Arabidopsis thaliana: one gene and its partner. The protein of the gene in region 1 interacts with the protein of each later gene in a pairwise test. Each region holds a gene or a part of one and is shown in the gene's direction. Other genes may lie near its edges. The genes, in order: IAA12 and SRO5.

Region 1 (8,062 bases):
ATTCTTATTTCTGCAAAACCAGACAACAATTCAGTAATCAAAAGGACACATACGTAAGTTGAAATTGGAAAGAGTTCTTCACCAAAGCTAACTTGATCCTCACGAACGTCTCCTAAAATAGCAATCTTCAGCTGAAGAACAACACACGCCTCCTAATAAACTCGTTGTCTTTCTCACATACACAAAACCAAATTTAGCAAAATGGTTATTATTACCTTTCTCCCTCCTTTCGGAAATTGCCACCACCAATCAAACAATCTACCTTCTTCTTCATTCATCATTCACTTCTCAGAATTTTGAGAATTTTGAATTGAGAATTGCGAGAGAGATCTCATTCTCCCTCTCGCAATTCTCCGTCCCCTCGAATCCAACAAAAAGATTTTAATGTAAAATCACTCTATTGATCCACAATGTCGATGATGTTCCCATCGTTTCAGTTGCTAGAACTTAACATAATATCAGCTCAGGACTTGGCTCCCGTCGCACGCAAGACAAAGACTTATGCGGTTGCTTGGGTTCATTCCGAACGTAAACTTACCACCCGTGTCGACTATAATGGCGGAACAAACCCAACTTGGAACGACAAATTCGTATTCAGAGTCAACGAAGAATTTCTCTACGCTGATACTTCAGCAGTGGTTATCGAAATATACGCCTTGCATTGGTTCAGAGATGTTCATGTAGGAACAGTTCGTGTCCTCATTAGCAACCTCATTCCTCCTAATCGCCGTCCAGGATACAGAACCAGCAACAATGAATATCGTCGTACCCCACCTCCAGGAATGAGATTTGTTGCGCTTCAAGTTCGTCGTACTTCAGGTCGACCTCAGGGGATTTTGAACATTGGTGTTGGATTAATTGATGGTTCTATGCGGAGTATGCCGCTTTATACGCATATGGATTCATCTGCTGTGGGATATAGAGATTTGCTCGGAGAAGAAGATCATCATCTACAACATTTGCATTTAAATAGCAACAAAGGGAGCTCAAAGAATCCACAATCTCCATCTTCTCGACAGTACCAATCCGTAATCTCAAGGCCTGAGCTCCGTCGTACGAAGAGCGATACAAGTTCTATGGTTGTTTCGGATCTTCTTAGCAGGGCTGAACGGAGTCGTTTAGCTAATAGACAACCAGCGAGTGCAATAGTGAGCAGTGAATCTGAAACTCTTCCCACCACGACAGATTCTGATGAGAAAAAATCGAGTGAGTATACACCTCCTAGTAAAAACCTTAGAGTTCCAAGGCAACGATACAATTCGATTGAATCAGATCTCATAAATCCGTCGCCAATGGAGAACCACCATGTGGTAGTGTCGAGAAGGGAGAGACATGATGTTATGCCGTATAGTTCGTATCAACAAACAGGTAAGACACCGAGGAAGAAGACAAGGATCGAGAAACAAAGATCAGTGAAAGATTACGATCGTGGCCGAGCTTCCCCGTACTTATCGAAGCACGGAACACCATTGAGATCAAACATTATCGCATCTACTCCGATGAGATCTAACGGAGTTGGATCAACTCCTATGAGATCCAACATCATCGCAATGTCACCGATGCATCCCAACATGGTTGGATCGACTCCAATGCGAACTCCTATGCGGTCTAACATGGTTGGTTCGACTCCAATGAGATCAAACATCGTCGGATCAACCCCGATCCGATCAAACTACATGGCTACACCGATGAGAACTCATCACGATTTTGGTACACCAGTGAGGAATTTAGCTGGAAGACGAATCTTAACTGAATCGGAGTTAGGACCATCGCCATCTGAAGTGGCTGACAAATTGGCGAAAGATAGATCGCACGAAACGGAAAGTTCAATACTCAGCGAATGGAGCATCGATGAATCTAGCATCGAAGGATTGCGATCAAAACTCGAGAGATGGCGAACAGAGCTTCCACCGTTGTACGACATAGGATCAAGCCATATAAGTAGCACTGATTACGATGGCGCGAGCGTTCCAGCTGCAACTGCCGGGGGAGGAATGAGTTCAAGACGGAAAACTCCGACGACGAAAAAGCATAACCGCCGTCACACAGATGGAGGTAATGGACTTTTCTCGTGTTTTAGTAAGATTTGTGGTGTGGAATGCAGTTTCGTATGCGGTGGTGGTGGTGGGCCGATGGTCTCAGAAGGATCTACTAAGAAAGGTGGAGCCGGACGTGTGCAACGCACATATTCCGCTGACGATCTGAGCTTTGTGTGATCTTTATTTTATTGGTCTTATATTAACTTTTATTTTTTTTGGAAAACTATATTTTTTAAGGATCTGAGCTGATGAATTAATCAAATAGTAAACAAAAATTAATTTATTAATGTTGTGTTAATAAATCATTTATTTTTGTGTATTCCTCTTCTTCTTCCTTATTTTTAAAAAATTAAAAAATGTTCTTCTTATAATATAGTGTTTAATAGAAAGTGAGCTCACACAACAAAATTAGAAAACTGTGAATGAATGTAAGAGAGTGAGTGGAATAAAAAAAATATAAAAATGAAATCTAAGAGTGAGTGAACAAATGTTGGTATTGTAGACAATGGTGACTAAAATTAAAAAGAAACAAAATGATATAAACATTAATCTAAAAAAAACTAAAATAAATATACAAATTCTGCATTTCTAACTATACTTTCATGTATTATGTATACTTATTTGATTCATACATGATATAACCGGTTATTTAGTTTATTTTCTATCAAATCCATCAATTAGAGCATGAAATCTATGTACTCCTTGATAATGATTTTGATCAAAAGTGTAATTTCCACAAACCAATTGCGCCTGCAAAAGTTTTCAAAGGATCATCAAACATAATGATGAATATCTCATCACCACGATTTTATAATAATGCATCTTTTCCCACCATTTTTTTTCCCTCACTTTCTTTTATAATCTTGTTCGACAACAATCATGGTCTAAGGAAAAAGTTGAAAATATATATTATCTTAGTTATTAGAAAAGAAAGATAATCAAATGGTCAATATGCAAATGGCATATGACCATAAACGAGTTTGCTAGTATAAAGAATGATGGCCAACCTGTTAAAGAGAGACTAAAATTAGGTCTAAAATCTAGGAGCAATGTAACCAATACATAGTATATGAAATATAAAAGTTAATTTAGATTTTTTGATTAGCCCAAATTAAAGAAAAATGGTATTTAAAACAGAGACTCTTCATCCTAAAGGCTAAAGCAATACAATTTTTGGTTAAGAAAAGAAAAAAACCACAAGCGGAAAAGAAAACAAAAAAGAACTATATTATGATGCAACAGCAACACAAAGCAAAACCTTGCACACACACATACAACTGTAAACAAGTTTCTTGGGACTCTCTATTTTCTCTTGCTGCTTGAACCAAACACAACAACGATATCCCAACGAGAGCACAACAGGTTTGATTATGTCGGAAGACAAGTTTTGAGAGAAAACAAACAATATTTTATAACAAAGGAGAAGACTTTTGGTTAGAAAAAATTGGTATGGCCATTACAAGACATATGGGTCCCAATTCTCATCACTCTCTCCACCACCAAAATCCTCCTCTCTCTCTCTCTCTTTTACTCTGTTTTCATCATCTCTTTCTCTCGTCTCTCTCAAACCCTAAATACACTCTTTCTCTTCTTGTTGTCTCCATTCTCTCTGTGTCATCAAGCTTCTTTTTTGTGTGGGTTATTTGAAAGACACTTTCTCTGCTGGTATCATTGGAGTCTAGGGTTTTGTTATTGACATGCGTGGTGTGTCAGAATTGGAGGTGGGGAAGAGTAATCTTCCGGCGGAGAGTGAGCTGGAATTGGGATTAGGGCTCAGCCTCGGTGGTGGCGCGTGGAAAGAGCGTGGGAGGATTCTTACTGCTAAGGATTTTCCTTCCGTTGGGTCTAAACGCTCTGCTGAATCTTCCTCTCACCAAGGAGCTTCTCCTCCTCGTTCAAGGTTCGTCCTTTTTCTTATTAAGAAAGCTCAAATCTTGTGATGTGAGTGTTATGCCATCTCAGGACAGAATTGTGTAGGTGCTTTTGTTTTAGTTTACCCTGAATAAGAGTTAGGTATCTATCTCCATTGATGAGCTTGTGCTTGTCCTGTGCTATAGATTTCTCTATGGAGTCATGCAAATGCTAAGATTTGTTCATTTTAATGTCTGTTTAGATGATTACATCTGAATTTCGAGAGCCATTGAGTGGAAATTTCTTGGTTTGTTGTGGCAGTCAAGTGGTAGGATGGCCACCAATTGGGTTACACAGGATGAACAGTTTGGTTAATAACCAAGCTATGAAGGCAGCAAGAGCGGAAGAAGGAGACGGGGAGAAGAAAGTTGTGAAGAATGATGAGCTCAAAGATGTGTCAATGAAGGTGAATCCGAAAGTTCAGGGCTTAGGGTTTGTTAAGGTGAATATGGATGGAGTTGGTATAGGCAGAAAAGTGGATATGAGAGCTCATTCGTCTTACGAAAACTTGGCTCAGACGCTTGAGGAAATGTTCTTTGGAATGACAGGTCTGTACTGTTTTCAAATGCGTACACTATAAACCCGATGTTTTCTATGAATCTACTGATAGTTTCTGTTTTATCTATCAGGTACTACTTGTCGAGAAAAGGTTAAACCTTTAAGGCTTTTAGATGGATCATCAGACTTTGTACTCACTTATGAAGATAAGGAAGGGGATTGGATGCTTGTTGGAGATGTTCCATGGAGGTAAGATTCGGATATTAAGCAGTATTGCAGTAGTTCAAAACCTGATTAGTCTCTTTTCTCTCTTTTTGTTTAGAATGTTTATCAACTCGGTGAAAAGGCTTCGGATCATGGGAACCTCAGAAGCTAGTGGACTAGGTAAGTTTTAAAGATCATCTTCTGGTTTCTTGATTTCTCGTCTTGACTAATGAAAAAGACTGATTGAATCATTTTTAATGCAGCTCCAAGACGTCAAGAGCAGAAGGATAGACAAAGAAACAACCCTGTTTAGCTTCCCTTCCAAAGCTGGCATTGTTTATGTATTGTTTGAGGTTTGCAATTTACTCGATACTTTTTGAAGAAAGTATTTTGGAGAATATGGATAAAAGCATGCAGAAGCTTAGATATGATTTGAATCCGGTTTTCGGATATGGTTTTGCTTAGGTCATTCAATTCGTAGTTTTCCAGTTTGTTTCTTCTTTGGCTGTGTACCAATTATCTATGTTCTGTGAGAGAAAGCTCTTGTTTATTTGTTCTCTCAGATTGTAAATAGTTGAAGTTATCTAATTAATGTGATAAGAGTTATGTTTATGATTCCAAAGAATGAATATTTGTTCCTTAATATGGTTTGTTGTTTTCTGTCTTTTTGAAGTTTCCATTGACTCGAGTCAAAACGTTTTGCAGAAACAGAGAAGAGTGTGTCATTAAAAAAAACAGAGAAGATGTTTATTTTTTTTGGTCGAAGAGAAGATGTTTCTAAGACCATCAAAATCATATATTGATGATTGATGACAAGAAAAGTTTTGACCATCAAAAGTTTTGTCCTTAATTGTTCTTAAATTCACACAAAATACGTTAAGAGTTATCTTTTAAAACTGCAAACTACTTTAAATTGATAAACTTTGAAAAGTAAAGATTTTATTCTTAATCTGATAGTTGAAGACAAAGAAAATAACAAATGTTTGGATTCACGTCACCAAATCAAAATATAATAAGGTTATGGATTGTTTAGGTAATATTTAACTTGTTACCTAGAAAAGGAGATACAGTGCTTAGCAAGTCCAACCAAAGATTAAAGGATAAGTAGTAAAGTCAAAAGACCAGTAAATTAAAGTCTTGTAGAGAAAGGAAGAAGGAAGATTCATGATCCTTGATAAAATTCAAGTTTGGTGAAATTCTAAAGACCACGGTTTAGATTTTTGGGGTTTGCTTTGGAATAAGATAATGGATCATCAATGGCGCATGAGGTTTTCGTTCAAGAACGCAACAATTGCTCTCACTGTCATCAACGTTCTCATCTTCCTCTTCCTCCTTCAGGGCTTTTTCACTTCCTCCTCTTCTCCATCTTCTTCTTCTTCTTCTCGCCGACTCATTTCAGGTCTGTAACTTTTCTGAATTCCTTGTGGGTATATCCTGATTTTGCGTAATTTCTCTGGATTTCATCGGAATTTGAGCAAAGTTTGGTGCTTTAGGGATCATCTTCTGATGGGTCTTTCTCGGATCTGCTCATAACAAAAAGCTTGTTGACTCGTTTTTAGATTTCTGGATCCTGTGGTCACTTCAATTCGATCTTTGTAGATTTAGGGCTTCTACACTGATATGATTCGATTTCGAAAAAGTTTAGATTTTTGCGTATTGAACAGATAATTCAATTGCATAAGGCACTTGAAAGTTAAGCTCTTTCCATGGAACTGTTGATATCAAAGTTGTTACATATTCACATTCTAAGCCTTGTAGAGATGAAGAACTTTTTTTTTTTTTTTTTTTTTTTTTTTTTTTTTTTTTTGGTTTAATGAGATGAAGAACTTTGAGAGATTGTTGATGTTTTTTTCTACATTACTGCAGAGCTTTGTCTTCTTTTTGGGTACTTGAAAAAGTTTCTTCTTTCATCATACATAACCATTACCTCTTTGATAAATGCAGCTCAGCTTCGGTATATCAAGGAAGCCGAAGAACTTAGGCTCAAGATGCAACCTTTAGAGCTCATCAGAAGAGTAAGCACATTATGCTTTTTGTAGCATTAGATATTTACAAGTATCTATGCTTTCGAGAGAGTGATTTGGCCTTATGTTCTTGAAATGAATGATAGGTCCGAGAAATCGAACAAGAGGCATCTGCGGGACAAGAAACCGAGCAGCAGAAAGATGTGAAGCAGACTACAGCCGTTGATCTCTCTAAACGACTGAAGGATTTCCGTGCGCTAAACGATGCATCGAGCTTGAAAGGTACACATAATAGCGAAATCGTCTTGTTTATGCTATGGAATTCAGATCAGAAACAAAACTATACATGAAGGTTTAGGTATGTAACAAATGTTTTTGTTATCCGCTCAGCATTGGAAGAATGGCGAAAGCGGAAAATGGAACGAGCAAGACAACGGGATCTTGAGAAAACCGGAGGAGTTTCTTCGTCCACCAAAACATCATCATAAACGTCACTAATTCTCTAAATATCATAAAATTATTGAACATTATAAGTCTCATAGAAAAAATTATACTTACTAGTGTAAAGACAGACAGAGATGCTGGAAACCTGTCAAAACACAGGAAAAGAAAAGAAAGGATATGTATGTTACTCAGTAAGATTTTTAAACACACTTGTGTTTTGGTCAATTCATCAAATATACCTTAATCATATAGTCTGGTGCCCAGTGCAGCTCAAGTTTATGGTCATCACCATTGTGGCCTGTATCAGTCATCTTTATTACATAAATTTGATTCATATTTTACAAAACAAAAAAACATGTAAATTATCGGTTTGTTCTTACTTCTTAGAAACATATGTGAAAACAGCCATGCGGTTACGACCGACATGTTTGTGAGATGCGGTTTTCCTTTTTGGTGCCAACCCAATATAGGCCCATGAAGCAATAGTATGCAACTGATTTTTTTTTTCGTTTTTTCATACAACTAAATTTCGTTGCAAACAATTCCGGATATTAACAACGCCTTCGTTATTAAGATAAAAGAGAAAAAAAGAAGTTCTAGATACTCGGTGGTTAATCACTTGTCCTCTTTCATTATCCCCAACCTTCCTCAGATAACTTTTTACCAAATGAAAAGAAACTTGGCAAAATTATGAAAATTTTAAGCTAATATTTCATATTTAAGCAATATGAATAAATGATATTCTACCAATACATGGCTATTTTCATTGATTCCAGGTGGATTATCATAAGTAATTAATTGCTGACCCCAATATATGGTAGCTTTGGAACATTTATTATGATAAAACATAAGGAGATAATATAAAGAAAGCGGTTTGGAGATTCGAGCTCAATGACAACACTGGCTATATCCAACACTTTAAAACAACGTCAAGACACGTGTCCCACCACCTGTAAGTAGCTAAACACAAAGGTCCTCTTCGCATGGCACGTGCTCCTTGCC
Region 2 (16,308 bases), on another chromosome or scaffold:
CTAACGTCAATGGAATGTCGTTATCAACTAAATGCAGCTGACAAGGCTGCAAACTCAAAACTGTCCTCGACCAGTTTCCAGCATTTTCCAAGACCCATAAGTCTACCAAACCGTTTTCTTTAAGACTAGTATGATAAAAAATAGCTGGTTTCCCACCGTACTCTATAAAATCCAGAGAGTCAACATATGCAGACAACACAAGAGGCGCTTGGATAATGTTAAATTCTTCAGACCTAACGTCAAAGGTGACAACGATATCCTGAAACATACTAGTGAAAGCAAGATAATATATAACTCCACCGATGCACAGTCCAGATCTCGTAGGAGTATGAGGTTGATCAAACTCAATTCTTTTCCAAGAACCTCCAACTTCCAGTACGAAGACCCAATGCTCCGAGATTATCGTTTCCAAATCTTGTGAGGATGATGACACAAAAGTGCAAACTACTTTGTATTGATCAAGAACAGGATCGTGCCCCAAGAAGTAGAGGAGACTATGTTCGTTTCCTTGGACAAAAATGTTGAATTTGATGGCGGGTAAGGTTACGCTCTGTCTGGTGGTGGGATTATAGAGACACGCTTTTCCGCAAACAATGTATAAAATCAAGCCACGAAGAGTCACCATATGTAGTCCTCCCATCCCTTGCATGGTCGTCAAATCTTGGTCGAAACTAGAAGGCGATGAGAATGATAGCAGTACAGACTCGCGGGGGCTGTGGCAGACCTCCCTTGAATCACACTTGTGGTCCACCAAACTAATGTATAGACGATGTGGTCGCAGTGGAGATGCAACCGTAAGATAACGGTTGCTAAAAAATCGGGAACGGATAAGAGAAGACCACTGCTTTGAAACGCACTTGAACCTCATAAGCGATTTATGAGGCAATCTAGTCAGAATCTCGATCAGTAGATCCAAAGGAATCTCCGGTGCCACAAAAAAATCTTCTCCTCTTTGTCTTCTTCTTCTTCTTTTTCTTCCTCTTCTCATAATCGCCTTTGAAGACCTCTTCTTCCATTGAAAAGATGAAATCAGAGCTACAGACAAACGCATGGCTACTACTACAAACTTGTATATCCAAATTCTAGGGTTGTGACAGTTTTATAAAGTAGAGGACGATGATCGTCTCTAATCAACAGTTTTCCTTTTGTTGATTAGGAAAAGAAAGTTTACCCTAACCGGTTTTCTTCGGTTTTAAAAATGAACCGAAACCCAATATATACGGTATGTTCCTAAATTTGAAAGATTACCGGATTGGTTTTTATTTGTCTCGCAATGTTCTTACTAGGCTTATATCGTTCATAAAATGAAGTATGGCTCAATAACAAATTATCATTGATTCATGTATGGGCTTCTGAATGAGATAATTCTAAAAAACATGCATGCTTATGATTTATGATTAAGGTAAAAAAAAAGAAAAAATTGATTAAAGTCATTTCTAGCTAATATTTGGATATCGCTAGCGGTAAGCTCATTTGAATCAAGTTTCTTTCGGGATTATTTCTAAATATTCAAAAATAAACAGAGTTACCTATTGAAAACCCAATTTATTTACCATTTCATTGCGATTAATTTAGGATTTTTTTACAATATGTTTTTTAATCAATTTGATTACTTATGCGTTTTCTTAAACAAGACTTAATTGTGCTTATAATATGACTTTGAAACATATACGAATCTCAATTTGTTGAAAATTAAGAGTTCATACTTAGAAGACGATATGTTGTTAGTAAATAAGTTTGTATAAAGACATTTGATTGCAATGATACAAGTCAAACACGATTTCGGTGAGTTTAACTATACTAATCTAATTTAACCTATTCATTGTAATCACACACATTCACATTGTTTGTCGATTAATTTATTTAGTTATACACTTATGTGATTCTAACTAAAATAATATTGACCTTAAAATTCATTTAAGAAATTGAAATTGGTTACGTATAAAACGTGTTACGTGTGTCGGTCGTGTCCTCTCAACTAAGAAAGACGCGATACAACACATTCTCGATGTCCACAAGCAAAGGGTAACTTCGTCATTTCCGCTTCTACCTAAAAGCCCCACTTGATCCAAAGGATATTTTCGTCTTTTCACACCAACCAACCCGCTTAACGAACTCCAACACGGAATAGACCCCTCAAAGAAAAAAAAAACAGCTAGCGGCCGCAACTTACAAAAACTTAACCAAAGTATTTATTATGTAATAAAATAAGAAAGATATTTAGCTGTTAAATGTTTGTTTACGTCTTCTCCACGGAGAAAAAGACAAGAAACTCTGAGTTTTTGATATTTATAAAAATTGCAAAACCGACGGTAACAGAAACAAAAGGCGGTTCTTTTTTCCATATGTGTAATTATTTCCTTAAGTCATAGCTATAAATATGAACTTGGACCTCAAGTTCTTTTCCTCTCTCAAGTAACAAAATACTAATTCAAAAGCTTTATAAAGTTTCTTTTCTCATTCGGTTCTAAAGTTCCTATTTTTCAATGGATTACGTGAGAACCCAAGTCGAAGCTGTTTTTGATGATTCTGAGCAAGATGGATCAACCATCTCTGAATCTGGAAGCTGCGATTCTTCTTCTGATCGATCTTTTGCTGACGAGCTTGGGCTTATGGAGTTGCTTGAAGGAGATAAAGCTCATGATTTGATCTATCGTAATTGTAAATCTGGTCTTGGTGATCAATGTCAGATTCTCTCTGTTCTTAGAAACGGATTTAGGAACGTTGGATCTCGTGCAAAGCTCAAGACTTTTCAGGTTTTTCAAGAGGCGGTGCAGATGAAACACGGTGGAGACGGTGGAGCTAAGGTGAAATACGGTTGGTGCTCTGTTTCGAAACATGAGCTTAAAACGATTTTTGAGTATGGGTTTAGCGAGCCGCTGAGGAATGATGGATCTTTTGGCCGTGGATTGTATCTCTCGCCGGATAATTCTCCTCTTGATTGGTAAGTTTCTCTAAATCTCTAAAAGTTTCAATTTTTCGAAATTCATTGGTCTCAAAATCTCATTTTTGGTGTTTGTTTGTTTGATTAGTTTGAAGGATTCAGCTTCAGAATCAGAAGATGGGATGAGATTCTTGTTGCTTTGTAGAGTTCTACTTGGAAAATCAGAGATTGTTCCTCAAGGCTCGACTAGATCATGTCCAAGTTCACCAGAGTTTGATTCTGGTGTGGATGATTTAGTTTCTACGAAGAAGTATATTGTGTGGAGTACACACATGAACACTCATGTTTTGCCTGAGTTTCTTGTTTGCATCAAAGCTCCATTTAACCTAACTCGTAAGCAAAATCAAAATCTCTAATCTTGAGTTTTTCTTGTTCTTGTTTATGGTTTTTTGACATAGTTATAACTGTTTTTGCAGGAAGTCCAAAGAGATTGAGATCACCATGGATGGCATTTCCTGTATTGATCAAAGCATTGTCCAAGTTTCTACCTCCTTCTCAAATACTTGTCATTCAGAAACATTACAAAGATCAACAAGTAAGTGTTTTTTTTTGTTTGTTTCCTCTTCAATTATCTTTTGAGGTGATTTCATTTCACATTCTAATTGTTGCTTTCCTTTGGATTTAACAGAATAGGAGAATTACACGGAGCGAACTAATCCAACGAGTCAGAAGCATAACCGGAGACAAGTTACTAGTTCACATCATCAAAGCTTGTGGACATAAAGTACAACACTAAATCTCCATTGCAGATCACTTTGGCGTTTTTGTTTCAAGGACACAATCACCATGGTTGTATTTGTCTGTTTACCAACTCCAAAATGATCAGGACTGGTAGAGTCCCTTTCTATTGTTTTCCCATGATAGTGATGAAAAAAAACTGTTCATTAGATTATTTAAGATCGATTAGATTAGGGTCTTAGCAACATTATTAATGAAGAGAACATTAACAAGTTATCATCTTGTTTTTCTTTTCACTCTTCTTCTTTCAAAAACATTTGTATTATTGTCTGGCTTTGAGCTGAAGAAAATTTCTGGTGGACTGAGTTTTACAATAGTTCTCTCTCTGTCTTAATCCCTCTACCCCTTGACTAAGTCAACGTCGTTGAAAACTTCATGTTTCAAGCTCTTATTCCCTCACACGGAAACTACTCGTAGAGATAAAACTACAAAACTCATATTTATTTGATGCAACAGCACACTAAGATCTTAGTTTATTAATTATTAGTGGACACACCACTTCTAAGTAGATGGAGGAAGTTCCCAACCTTGTGGAACCGGACCATAATCGTAGATGACTTCTCTGTGGCATGACCAAACCAGCTTTATAGCCTCTGGTGTCCCTATCCCGGCCCCTCTCGGGTCCCCCGCAGGTCCAAACCTGTGTTTATATGATAGTTTAACTTTTCCTCAAAGAAATAGAAATAGATACTTTAATTTGGGAGTGTGATTTTTCCTCTCACCAGTGATTCTGAGGAGCTCCAGTTGTTCTTCCTCTTAGTCCAGCATATGTAGTCCCATTCACTGAGTTCCCTATTACTTCCTGCACAGATTTGTTACATCAATATCGAAGGGATAGAGAATAAGAGATTGATTGATGATAATTGTGAAAAGATTTGCCTGAAGAAAGATGGGATCGTTTGAAACAACAGCTGCAGTTAGATGAGCGTGCATCCTCTCCAATGCTTCCAACACTAGAGGAAGTTGATCCTTTTTGTATTCCGTTACAATCTGGATATCATATACAGAAACAACACTATACGTTTCAGTAAAAGAAACACACAAGATCATTTAGACAAAGCTAATAAAGTCGATATCAAGGTAACCTGAAATGGTCCAAAGATTTCTTTGGTGACGAGTTCGTAGGTTTTATTATCCTTCAAGATTTCTTCAATGGGAACATAAACTGCAGTTGGCTCCAAAGCTCCGTAGATTGAAGGAATCGAATGATTCTTCAATTCCTTGCCACCAAAGAGTAGCTTTGAGCCAGGAATCTGAAGCAGATTCTCCATGTGCTCCAACATTGCCTCAGTTGTAAACTTGAAACAATAATGAAAAAATAAGTTTTAATGATACAATCTCATCAGATGATTAACAACAGATGGAGAAACAATGAAACTCACTGTAAGGACAGGACCAATGGTTAAGTCTTCCAGTTTGCGTCTTTCCGCTAGTTCTTTTAATTTGGAAACAAGAGGGGTTTTTGACCAGTTCTGCTCAGAGAGAAAATACATTGAAAACAACAAAGACAGAAGAAAATGGAAGTAAACAAAAGATTCAAAGGTAGTTTCACCATAACAATTAGGATCAAACCAACCTCATGAACAAAAAGCATAGACTGTGCAGAACACTTCTGTCCACTGCACGCGTATGCATCTTGATCACATTGCCATGCAACATAATCAACCTGACATTAGAGACCGAAACAAGGGTTACAATCACATTTAAGGAGACTTGTGGAAATACAAATACGGAAGGGTATAATAAGAAACCTCCTGAACATCTGGTCCTAAGACTTTCCAATCAAATCCAGCATCTTCCAATCTGATTCGACCCTTAAGGTCAAGTGCCAACTTTTCAGCTACTCTAGAACTACCCGTGAAGAGGGTCATCCGTGGGTTCGCCTGAAAGAAGTTACAAATCGACAAGACACTGAATTAGCTCAACTAAAAACCCTGTGGAGACAATAGACTTGTGAATTCCTGACCAAATACCTCTAACAATATCTTGTTCATTGTCTTCCCATCAGAATTTATAAAGTCCACATCTTCAGCGGGTAAACCACAATAGTGGAGCAATCGCATCATTTGCTCCATAACAATGCTTACCTAATCAAATAACATTATATTATCAAACAGATGGAACCAATACAATTACGAGAACTATAGTAATGTGAAGAGTAATTTATACCTTGCTGTCCACTTTAAGAAGAGGTTTGTTACCCATGTATAATGCCCCCATCAACTGAAGTAGTGGAATCTCAAGTGGAAAATTAAATGGTGTAACAATCGTTACCTGCATTACAAATCTATGATTTCAAAACAAAGCACAGACAGAGTTCTCACCAATTACAACCATCTAGGAAGAATGCCTTACAGGACCATAAGGCCAACGGTAACCATGACTTTGCTGCCCAAGATGATTCCCAGGGATTGCAAAAGACCGTGCCAGGAACCGCACCTGATAAAAGAAAGTGAAGCGAAATCATAAACATACATTTAAAGATGTAATTTCGGAAATTCAGCCACAAACATGAAATGTCTATATAGGCATTTTTGAGAACATGCCTTCAAGAATTACTAAGTTGTTGAAACTAATAGCCAGGAACCAAAATAAAAAATGGTGAAGAGAGTAATGTACCTGATCACCACAAAAGTTTTCTAAAAACTTCCGTGTGACAAAGACTTCTCCAGCAGCTTGCTGGTAACTCTTTGGAGCAACCCTTTGAATTAACCTCGCGAAGAAATCAGCAACCTAATAGTGTATACACGCATACAACAGTAGCTCAGTATGCATGTTATTCAGAAAACAAAACCTTTTGAATTCAAGACTCGAGATTCAACAAAAAAAGTATGTGTTACCTTAGGTAAGGCGAGCATATGAGCTGCCTTTGTCGAGATATCTCCATATAAAAGGTATCTGTAGAAAACAAGACCATTACTATCCTTCATATATGAAACAAAATGGGAAATGACAAAACAAGAAGAAATAGCACCAAACCTCAACCAAATCATACCTCTCTGGAGATTTGAAAGGGTTATGGAGACCATGTTTCGGGCACTGGGATAAGCTGTCCACAAATGGCTACAACATAGAACAGAGGAAAACTGAAAGTTAGAATTGACACGGATAAACAACATTGTGATACGATCAACGGTTTTTGATAGGCTCGTACCTGAGTTCCTGATTCATCCACTTCCGCAACTTTGATAAACGGTTCTCCATTTAGAGGATCTAGAAGCGTGTTATGATTTGACGATCCTATCCACTTTCCCTGCACTATAGACATAACAATGAAAGTAGAACTCAGAGACTTCACAACAGCATTTAACCAACAAGCTATTACTCATTTCCATAGCGTCAACGCACAATCAGTGAGAAGTAAAGACATACCAAAGCTCTGTACTTCAGCAGGATGAGCACCAGAGAGCTCCTCGGCATCTACGGTAGCAAAAGGTATGGAATGATTCAATCTGCAAGATCCATAAACACAAAAATTAAGGCAAAGGAACACTCTTTTAAATGGATCACATTCTCAGACATCAAAGAGTAATCAGAACACAAATACATAAAGTACCATTTCAAACTCTAATCAGCTAACACTCTCTTCATTACATAGAGACTGAGCAGATGCGGCTACTCGATGATCTAAATCTCAAATTTTTAATACACCAACTTGCTAAAGTTTTCTCTTTTATTTATTTATATATATATACAAATGGAAAGTCTATTACTTTAGGCAAAAACATGCAACCCCAAAAGACGAAGAGCAATGTTTAACACAAAACAAGAAATAATTTGGTGAGATCAGGACGTTTGAAAAACCTGGAGAGAGTCAAAGAAGCAAGCGAGGTGGATGATTTGTCACAGAGAGACTTAGCTCTCAGTGCTCGGCTCGCAAAAACTCTATACATTGCGTAAGATCCACAAGTAACGGAGAAAGATGAGAATCAGACGATTGGATGAGAGGATTCAAGAAGATTGGTGATAAAATAGCGAATTCTCGAGTGATTTGTGTTTAGCAGCTTATTAAAGAATTAAATGTTTTTCCCCTGATTGACGAGAAATACATTAATGATTTAAAGATATTTACAGATAATTTCTTATTTCTAGGTTATTATCTTTTTTACCCCATAGTTTCTAATGGCTTCTTATAAACCCTGATGTGATGAGTCATGACTCATGAGGAAGAAGAAGTTGAGCAAAAAATAAAAATAATAGTAAATCTCTTTTAAAGACCTCCTCTAATCAATTCGACTAATGGAATAGTAATTAGTTAAATATCAAGGGAAACTAATAATGAAAATTGGTACAAAAAAAAAAAGAGATTTATGATTATTATCTACTGTTTTACTCTTTTGAAATTTAAATTGGAAAATCAATAGTATTAGTGATATTTGACATCAAATCCAGGGATCAACCAAGGAATTTTGTAAGATGAACACAGATGTCAATTACAAAATAGATAAATAAATCTTGATAGATAAATAAGTATTAAAATGGTGATAGCTTGCTGAGTCACGTCCGCTTGGGCCATTGGCCCATTGAGTAATAGACGTATACGTTTGTCTTTTACACGAACCGACAAATAAAAAATAATAATATTAAAATTGTATTAAAATTATAAAAGTCTTTTTTCGTCTTTGGAAGAAAATATATATATGTTTTTTTCTTCTGGCAAGTTTTGTATTTTATTTTCTTAAAATAGTATATGATTTTTTCATTTTAAACTTTCTTTGTGTTTTCTTCTTCTCTTCCTTTATTTGGTGAAGAAAAAGGAAAGAAAAATCTCAACTTTGATTCTCTCTCCCTCTATATATACTTTATTTATTCTCCACTCATAATAGTTTCATCATCTCTTTCGGTCTATGAAAAACATTGGAAAAACCCTAATTCCTAGTGTTGCGAATCACTTTTCATTGCAGCTTTGAACTTCAGGTAATTTTAGGTTAATCGAGCTTTTTCATTTGATGCATGACATCGGAAGATCAAATCTTTCATAGGTGATTGTATAATCTAATCCTAAGGCTCGTTGAAATCGATAATTGTACTCTTGATCTACTTAAATTCAGAATTTAAATTCAGAATTTATACACAGCTACTATCGTTGAGTCGAACTTAATTTGCTAGTTGAAATAATCCAAGCTTCAAGCTTTCTTGTCTAGAAGTTTGGTGATTCTTGTTCTCTGACCTTTTGGGCTATATGGTTGTTGAAGCTTAAGTCTTTGTTAAACTATGATGATAGGTTATAGAAATGTAGATCTTGGTCTCTGCTTCTACTTTTTTTGGGTCTGAAAAAAAATTGAAACTTTAATCAGAAATTTAAAGCCTAGTTCATGCAATTGCTCTTACTTTGTGACTTATGAAATGAGTTTGTAAGAGTAAAGTTGAAATCTTTCATATTTGGATGCAGTCTGTGAATTTCCAACAGCAATGACAACTCCAGCAAAAAAGAGACTGATGTGGGATTTCAAGAGACTGCAGAAAGATCCTCCTGTGGGAATAAGTGGAGCTCCACAAGATAACAATATCATGCATTGGAATGCTCTCATCTTTGGGTATAACTTTTTGTTTTGTTTTCTCTTCAAAGCATGGCTTTGTAAACTTATTTCTTCATTGTCTTTGTTTGCAGACCTGAGGACACTCCATGGGATGGAGGTAATTATCTTTCAGTACTTATTGGCTATTGCTGCAGACCGAGATATTGTCATGAGTTAAACTTATAGCTAAAATAATCAGTCTGTTGTGTTCATCAGGTACTTTCAAGTTGACTCTTCACTTCACCGAGGATTATCCGAACAAACCCCCGATTGTTCGGTTTGTTTCACGGATGTTTCATCCAAACAGTAAGCCCAAGCATTCAGTGAACAACATAGTAATAGACCAATTAGGAAATTCGACTTTGATAATTGAACTTTGGTGCAGTTTATGCTGATGGAAGCATTTGCTTGGATATCTTGCAAAACCAGTGGAGCCCCATCTACGACGTTGCTGCAGTTCTCACATCAATTCAGGTTTTGACTTCTGAATTCTTCATTTGTATCTTTTGCATTGTGGAGGTTATGCATGAACTAAACCAAGACCTTTTGTTTTACAGTCTTTGCTCTGTGACCCAAACCCTGACTCACCAGCGAACGCAGAGGCTGCAAGGTTGTTCAGTGAGAATAAAAGAGAATATAACAGGAAAGTAATCGAGATCGTGGAGCAGAGCTATGTATAAATATGATTCATTTTGTTGTATTGACTAATGAGTAATTGGATGTTGAATAGTATTTATTATCTGCCTTGAGTTTATTTTACATGGATGTTTAAATTTCGGAAATGAGATTTCTGCTATAAATATATATATATTTTGATAATAGTGAATAACCAAATTTGAAGAGACAACAGTAGAAGAAAGACTTCAAATGAAGACATGAAAGTAAAACTTAAAACAATTACAGAGCAAGCAAATAAAACATTTGTTGTCTTTCAAACCACACTTTGGAAACAAACTTGCAAAGGTTTTTCAACTATGTACTTGAACAAATCATTCAAACCAAAAGAAAAAGATTGTTTGAGATATGTTGAAGAAACGCTTCTCTGTTCTTCATTTAAACCTGGATGTCTTCTCCTGCACCAACAACAACCTGCGACGAGAAAAAGCTTGTGTTAGCTACAAGAACAATTTCGATCCTGTGAACTTAAAGAAGTTTTTCACTCACCGTGTTTTCTTTGTTCTCCATTTTCTCTGTTTGCTTCAGAGATTTAACTTCACCTACACATATGAACATTAAAAACGATCAGCCACAAATGCTACACAAGCTATTCAAAGACATTTATATGATTTTCCTTTTACCTTCTTTAGCAGTAGATTTCTTAATTGACTTCTTTGACTCTTCTTGAACTCTCTTAGTCCTGGGTTTAGTGATCCTCTCAGACTTCTTCTGAGACTTATCATCCTTGTTTACTTGAACTGTTTTTGAATTAGCAGAGTTGGTTGCTAGTGATTTCTTTGTCCTCACCGGCAGGTTGTTCTTAGGAACAGTCTCCTTTCTGGCACGTTTCTTGTCTGAAGGTTTAACAACAGTCACGATCTGAACACCATCTGCTGATGGACGGAGCCCTTCTTCGGATTCCTGAACAACCTCTGAATCATTCTCTTGGTTCACATTGATTACCTCCAGAGACTTTCTAGTTCTTCCTTGTGTTACAGTTTCCAACGCCTGCTCTTCCTTAGTTGTTTCTGTGACAGATGAATCTTGCAAAGCATCTTCTTCCTTAGTTGTTTCTGTGACAGATGAATCTTGCAAAGCACCTTCTTCCTTAGATGTTTCTGTGACAGATGAATCTTGCAAAGCATCTTTTTCCTTAGTTGTTTCTGTGACAGATGAATCTTGCAAAGCATCTTTTTCCTTAGTTGTTTTTGTGACGGTTGAATCTTGCAAAGCATCGTCTTTCGTGATCTCTGATGTGATGTTCGAATTTCCAGGAGTGGAGAATGAACTCTGGACATCATTATCGTTGTTCAGAGACATAGCTGTTTCTTCAGCTACAACAGAACTAGTCTCCGAGACCTGCACCTGATTGGATTCTTCAGAGATATTGTACAGTTCCGAAAGTTCCTTCATAGCATCAGCAAGCCCATCCATGTTATTGCGACGAGCATACAATTTCAACTCTTCTTTCATCTTGTCAAGTGGCTAGATTCCAAAACAAACAAAGCCAGTGAGATAATAAAACAAACGAATCAAGACTTATTCCAAATTAAAGCTTTCATTGTAAATGAGCATTTTCACCTCACACCCTGCATGAAGAGCAAGTTTAAAGAAACCGAGAGAGATCGAATGTTTCGCCACGGATTCAGCTAGCTTGATATGAGTCAGCCAATAAGTAGAGGAAGACAAGTCTTCAACTTTCTTTCGAGTCACTGATGATCTGAGATTACTAGAGACAGGTGTTGTTGTTTCATTGAAGCTTCTAGGAACAATGCGTGATCTCTTTGGCTTGACTTCAGAAAGAGAAGTGACGCTGCTGCTCACTGATTTAACAGAAGAATTGCTTGTGGGCTTGTTTGGAATCGAAAGTCTTCTTGGTGGTAGCTTGGTTCGATCAACACTCTTCTTCCCAGACAAATCAAGAACTGTTGTACTCTGACTAACAGCAGATACAACTCGTGCCCTGAGATTCAAATTCACACACATAAATATAATCCATAAGACAAATTACATTGCAACGTTTATATAAACCATAACTGATCATCTTAAACTAGCAATTCAAGATATGAATCAGGAGAAAATGACCAAAATTCTGGGAAAATTTTCATCTTCTCTAGAATTCAGAAAATGAACAAATTCTAGCATCATCAATGTCTCGTTGAATCCGGATCTAGGATCATTATTGAATCAATAGTACCTTCTGGGCATAGAAGAAGCAGAGAAATCAGGAACAGGAGGCTTCCCTTCCTTGGATCTAAGAGCCGATCTGAGAGGATACCTCAGCTTCGAGTTTATTGAATTACCTGTTCAGAAATTTTCGAATCAGAAAAACATTACGAAAACTGAAATGGGAAGTGATAATCAGATAGAAGGAATTGAAGAAGATTTACCAGAAGCAGCAGAGCTCACGCTTTTCTCCATTGATTTCTCCATTGATGAACTTAGAAACTTTTAACGCTTTTTTGTTTTGTTTAGACTGAGAGAGAAAAAAAACTGAAGATCTCAATTTGAAAAACTGTGAGAGCGGAGAAATCTCTGACTTATAATAATAACAAAACAATCTGATTTGTTTCTAAGAACTCGTGGATGACCCCTACATTATTTGATATTTCTCTTATAGCCTCATTATTTTCTATTAAACCAATTCTGACCCATTTTTTACTCTACCCAATAAGGGTAAATTTGATGCTTCATTTGAAATTGAATTGATTAAAAGTTTAAACAAATTTATTTGAGTTTATATATATTTGAAAATATTCATATATATTAGTTTGGGAACAGAGATAAAGGTTTTAGTATGTAAAAACATTAGCTTGGGATTAAAAATGAAGATTTCTAAAGTTAAAGGGTCTACTTTTTGAATAATCCGTAAAACCTAAATTTCTGTTGCAGTTTGCCTTGAGAGCGGGAAATTGGTTGAAAGTCTCTTTGGGAGAAGATAGAGAGAGAGAGAGTTACTCTGAGCCGTCCGATTCGATTGATTTAGGAATCTGAGGGACCTCATTTTTCCAAACGCTCCGTTGTCTGTGGGGTCTTCTTTTTGTTTTGTTTATTTTTCGAAATTTCAAATTCAAATAACGCCGTTGACTGATTGATTAACCGTTTGTTATATAACTGTTAAGATTGAGGGGCTTCTTTAATATCTGACGACCCATTAATGTTTTCTCGATACTGGGCTTCATTTGGGTTCGGTCCAATACTTTTAGTACTGTGCTTTTTTAATTAGAAGAAAATGGATCTCTAAAGTCTAAACACTCGATCATCTAAAAAAACAGAGGGATATGAGTCACAACGCTTAAGCTAGGTTTTGCCAGTTTACAAGTTTATCCTCTGTCTATCTATTTTTGACCATAACAAACAAATAAGAATTTTAATAAATTAAACATTTCTAATCTTGTTTGTATTGTTTAGTGTATTAGTGTATATAGTAAATCAAAAGTGAGATTTTTAAAAAAAATAATATTCTATCGACAACATGCAATATTTGAATTTGAATAAGATGGTAACACAATGACAATACTAATATAAACCATAAGCCTATGTTATAGTCAATGGAATTTTGGTCAAGCTGCTCAAAATATGTTCTTCTTTATTTACGATTATTGCTGCCAAATCATATACCTAAATAAGTTTTCAACAAGCTATCCACATAATGCTTCCTTAAAATAACTTTCATAAATATTAAAGATTTTAAGCTTACATGAATGGTAAAAGAAATTTCAAAATAATATAAGAAACTATCCTACCTATTCTCATTGTCTTTGTTCACATGTAACCAAATACAAAGCGTTGGTAAAATAAAAACATACTCCTCTTAGTGCATTTGAAAGGAAAAAAAAAACACATCTGAGTGGATGTCATGTTCTTGTTCTTTTTTTTTTTTTTATCTAATCGATAGTGTCGCTCTATTCCGACTTTATCTCACTAGAAACAATATAATTATTTGTTTCACATTATAAAGAACAATATTATTAAGAATGTATATTTAAATATATTCTCGTTTTCTGAGTATGTCGCCGGTAATTAATTATCATATGGTGTGTGCATTACTCAGTCTACTTTTCTTTTGTCAAATTTCTAATTACGATTAACTTAACAAAGCTTGAACTATAGCTCATAATTTTTGCGTAATAAATTCCTTGCAAAATAGTATATCCTAGGTTGGTAAAATTAAATGTCAAAGATACCTTTTTGGAGTATTTATTCCCTATTTGTAAGTTCTTGATTTGATACTGTGTTAAATGAGAAACTATTTATGGCTCATGGTGATTATTATTAGGTGTCCATTAATGATGATCATCAATTCATCACCTTTACAATATTAATTCTTCTCAAAAAAGTAAACCATGAAAAAGTCAAGAATGTCAGAGTCGTTACTATCAGCGTTACCAATTCCGTTTTGTTGTCCCTTGATTTAGCTAATAAACAAAAATCAAATAGATAGTTTTCCGGTTTAATCTAACTTGGTTCGGTTGATTTTTCCGGTTAATCTATTGGTTCGGTTTAATCATCCAAAACCTTTTGGACTGTATCAAAGACTGAATATTACGAGCTTTGATTTTTTTAGCTCGGAGCCGCTTCTTCTTTCTTCATCTTCTTCCTCCTCTCAATAACCCAAGTTTTTTCGCCGATGGGTGGAAACAAGCAGAGATGGTTCTCTTTCCACCAACGATCCTCATCCGCCACCACTACTACTTTACCACAACACAAACACGACGAGACTCCACCGGAGTTTCTTTGTCCCATCACCGGATTCCTCATGTCGGATCCCGTCGTCGTCTCTTCCGGTCAAACCTTCGAGCGTCTCTCTGTTCAAGTCTGTCGTAACTTAGGGTATATACCGGATCTCCTAGACGGTACCCGACCCGATCTTTCCACCGTCATCCCCAATCTCGCAATGAAATCCACCATTTTCAGTTGGTGTGATCGGCAAAAAGTTGACCATCCTCGTCCTCCTGATGCCGCTTACGTCGAAGGCGTGGTTCGTGCCCGAATGGATAAAGATCCTAATCCAAGTCCGGGTCAAAGTCCGGGTCCGGGTGATAAGGATCCGGAGCCTGAGATTCTCCCTCCTGTAGAAGAGAATTCACCTTCGGATTACGATGCTGTGATGGAAGCGATTCGAGCTCGATCAAAGAATTCAATGTCGCCGACGACGTCTCTTGAATCGGTGACGATTGGTCAGAGTTCATATCACCCGGTTCGAGCCGTTAGTATGTTCTCTTCTTCAACTACTTCTTCTTCCTCTGGAGTTTTCGCTGGTGCTGATAGTCCATTTCGAAACGCTATGTCTTTCTCTTCCACTGATCACTCTTCTTCTCCGATGTCACCGGAAGAAGAAGAGATCTTCAATAAATTGAGAGGTACCGACATTTTCGACCACGAGCAAGGTTTGATTCTTCTTAGGAAGATGACGAGATCTAGTGAAGATCTTCGGGTTTCGCTTTGTACAGATCGGATTCTCTCTTTTCTCCGATCGCTGCTTGTTTCACGGTACAATCTTGTTCAGACTAACGCCGCTGCTTCGGTGGTTAATCTCTCGTTGGAAAAACAGAACAAAGTTAAGATCGTACGGTCAGGATTTGTTCCTCTGTTGATCGATGTTTTGAAATCGGGAACGACGGAGGCGCAGGAACATGTTGCCGGAGCTTTGTTTAGTTTGGCGTTGGAAGATGAGAACAAAATGGTGATCGGAGTTCTTGGTGCGGTGGAGCCGCTTCTTCACGCGCTTCGGTCGTCGGAGAGTGAAAGAGCGCGGCAAGATGCAGCTCTTGCGCTTTACCATTTGTCCCTGATTCCGAGCAATAGAACTAGGCTGGTTAGAGCTGGTGCGGTGCCGACTCTGCTTTCGATGGTAAGATCGGGTGATTCGACTAGCCGGATTTTGCTGGTACTATGTAACCTGGCCGCTTGTCCAGACGGAAAAGGTGCGATGTTAGATGGAAACGCGGTGGCGATTTTGGTAGGGAAGCTTAGAGAAGTCGGAGGTGGTGATTCAGAGGCGGCGCGTGAGAATTGTGTGGCGGTTCTGTTGACGTTGTGTCAAGGGAATTTGAGGTTTAGGGGGTTGGCGAGTGAGGCGGGAGCGGAGGAAGTGTTGATGGAAGTGGAAGAGAATGGGAATGAACGGGTGAAGGAGAAGGCGTCGAAGATTCTGCTGGCGATGAGAGGAGGAGGCGGAGGAGAGAGTGAGTTTGGGGAAAATGCGGAGGCGCGTGAGTGGAACCGTATGCTTGAAGCGACTGGGCTAAGTCGGACTCAGTTTCAAGGAGGGCAAAATGGGGGTTTTGCTTATTCCTCCCAGTTCTAGCTTTTTTTAAAAAATTGTTTTTTTGGGCATCTCTTTGTTGTTTACCTTTTTTTGGTAAAATGTTATCTTATTTTTCCTTTTTTTTTGTTTTGGTTTGATATAAATGGGTGTAAATTACTAATTTTGTGTGAATTATAATA

The links.
Region 2: the proteins of IAA12 (region 1) and SRO5 interact in binary tests that used the Arabidopsis thaliana proteins (3 or more experiments, as listed by UniProt).

The regions. Positions count from the first base shown.
Region 1 is NC_003070.9:1,236,846-1,244,907, forward strand, and holds IAA12 (AUX/IAA transcriptional regulator family protein), read left to right. Parts: upstream 1-3,448; 5' UTR 3,449-3,736; coding exon 3,737-3,939; intron 3,940-4,211; coding exon 4,212-4,498; coding exon of another isoform or gene 4,499-4,530; exon of another isoform or gene 4,531-4,579; coding exon 4,580-4,697; exon of another isoform or gene 4,698-4,770; coding exon 4,771-4,832; intron 4,833-4,915; coding exon 4,916-4,965; 3' UTR 4,966-5,312; downstream 5,313-8,062. Other genes in the region: AT1G04540 (Calcium-dependent lipid-binding (CaLB domain) family protein), read left to right, coding at 411-2,216; AT1G04555 (uncharacterized protein), read left to right, coding at 5,898-6,051, 6,597-6,667, 6,763-6,898, 7,007-7,104.
Region 2 is NC_003076.8:25,095,585-25,111,892, forward strand, and holds SRO5 (uncharacterized protein), read left to right. Parts: upstream 1-2,359; 5' UTR 2,360-2,486; coding exon 2,487-2,944; intron 2,945-3,032; coding exon 3,033-3,277; coding exon of another isoform or gene 3,278-3,300; exon of another isoform or gene 3,301-3,360; coding exon 3,361-3,479; exon of another isoform or gene 3,480-3,572; coding exon 3,573-3,680; 3' UTR 3,681-4,183; coding exon of another isoform or gene 4,184-4,322; 3' UTR 4,323-4,323; downstream 4,324-16,308. Other genes in the region: AT5G62510 (F-box family protein), read right to left, coding at 1-1,051; ALDH12A1 (aldehyde dehydrogenase 12A1), read right to left, coding at 4,184-4,322, 4,405-4,484, 4,562-4,672, 4,768-4,980, 5,065-5,154, 5,259-5,348, 5,434-5,565, 5,656-5,769 and 8 more; UBC3 (ubiquitin-conjugating enzyme 3), read left to right, coding at 9,095-9,219, 9,294-9,319, 9,418-9,507, 9,587-9,675, 9,759-9,881; AT5G62550 (microtubule-associated futsch-like protein), read right to left, coding at 10,255-10,290, 10,366-10,418, 10,500-11,343, 11,440-11,821, 12,056-12,161, 12,249-12,291; AT5G62560 (RING/U-box superfamily protein with ARM repeat domain-containing protein), read left to right, coding at 14,489-16,168. UniProt on the Arabidopsis thaliana protein: Probable inactive ADP-ribosyltransferase that may be involved in stress and developmental responses.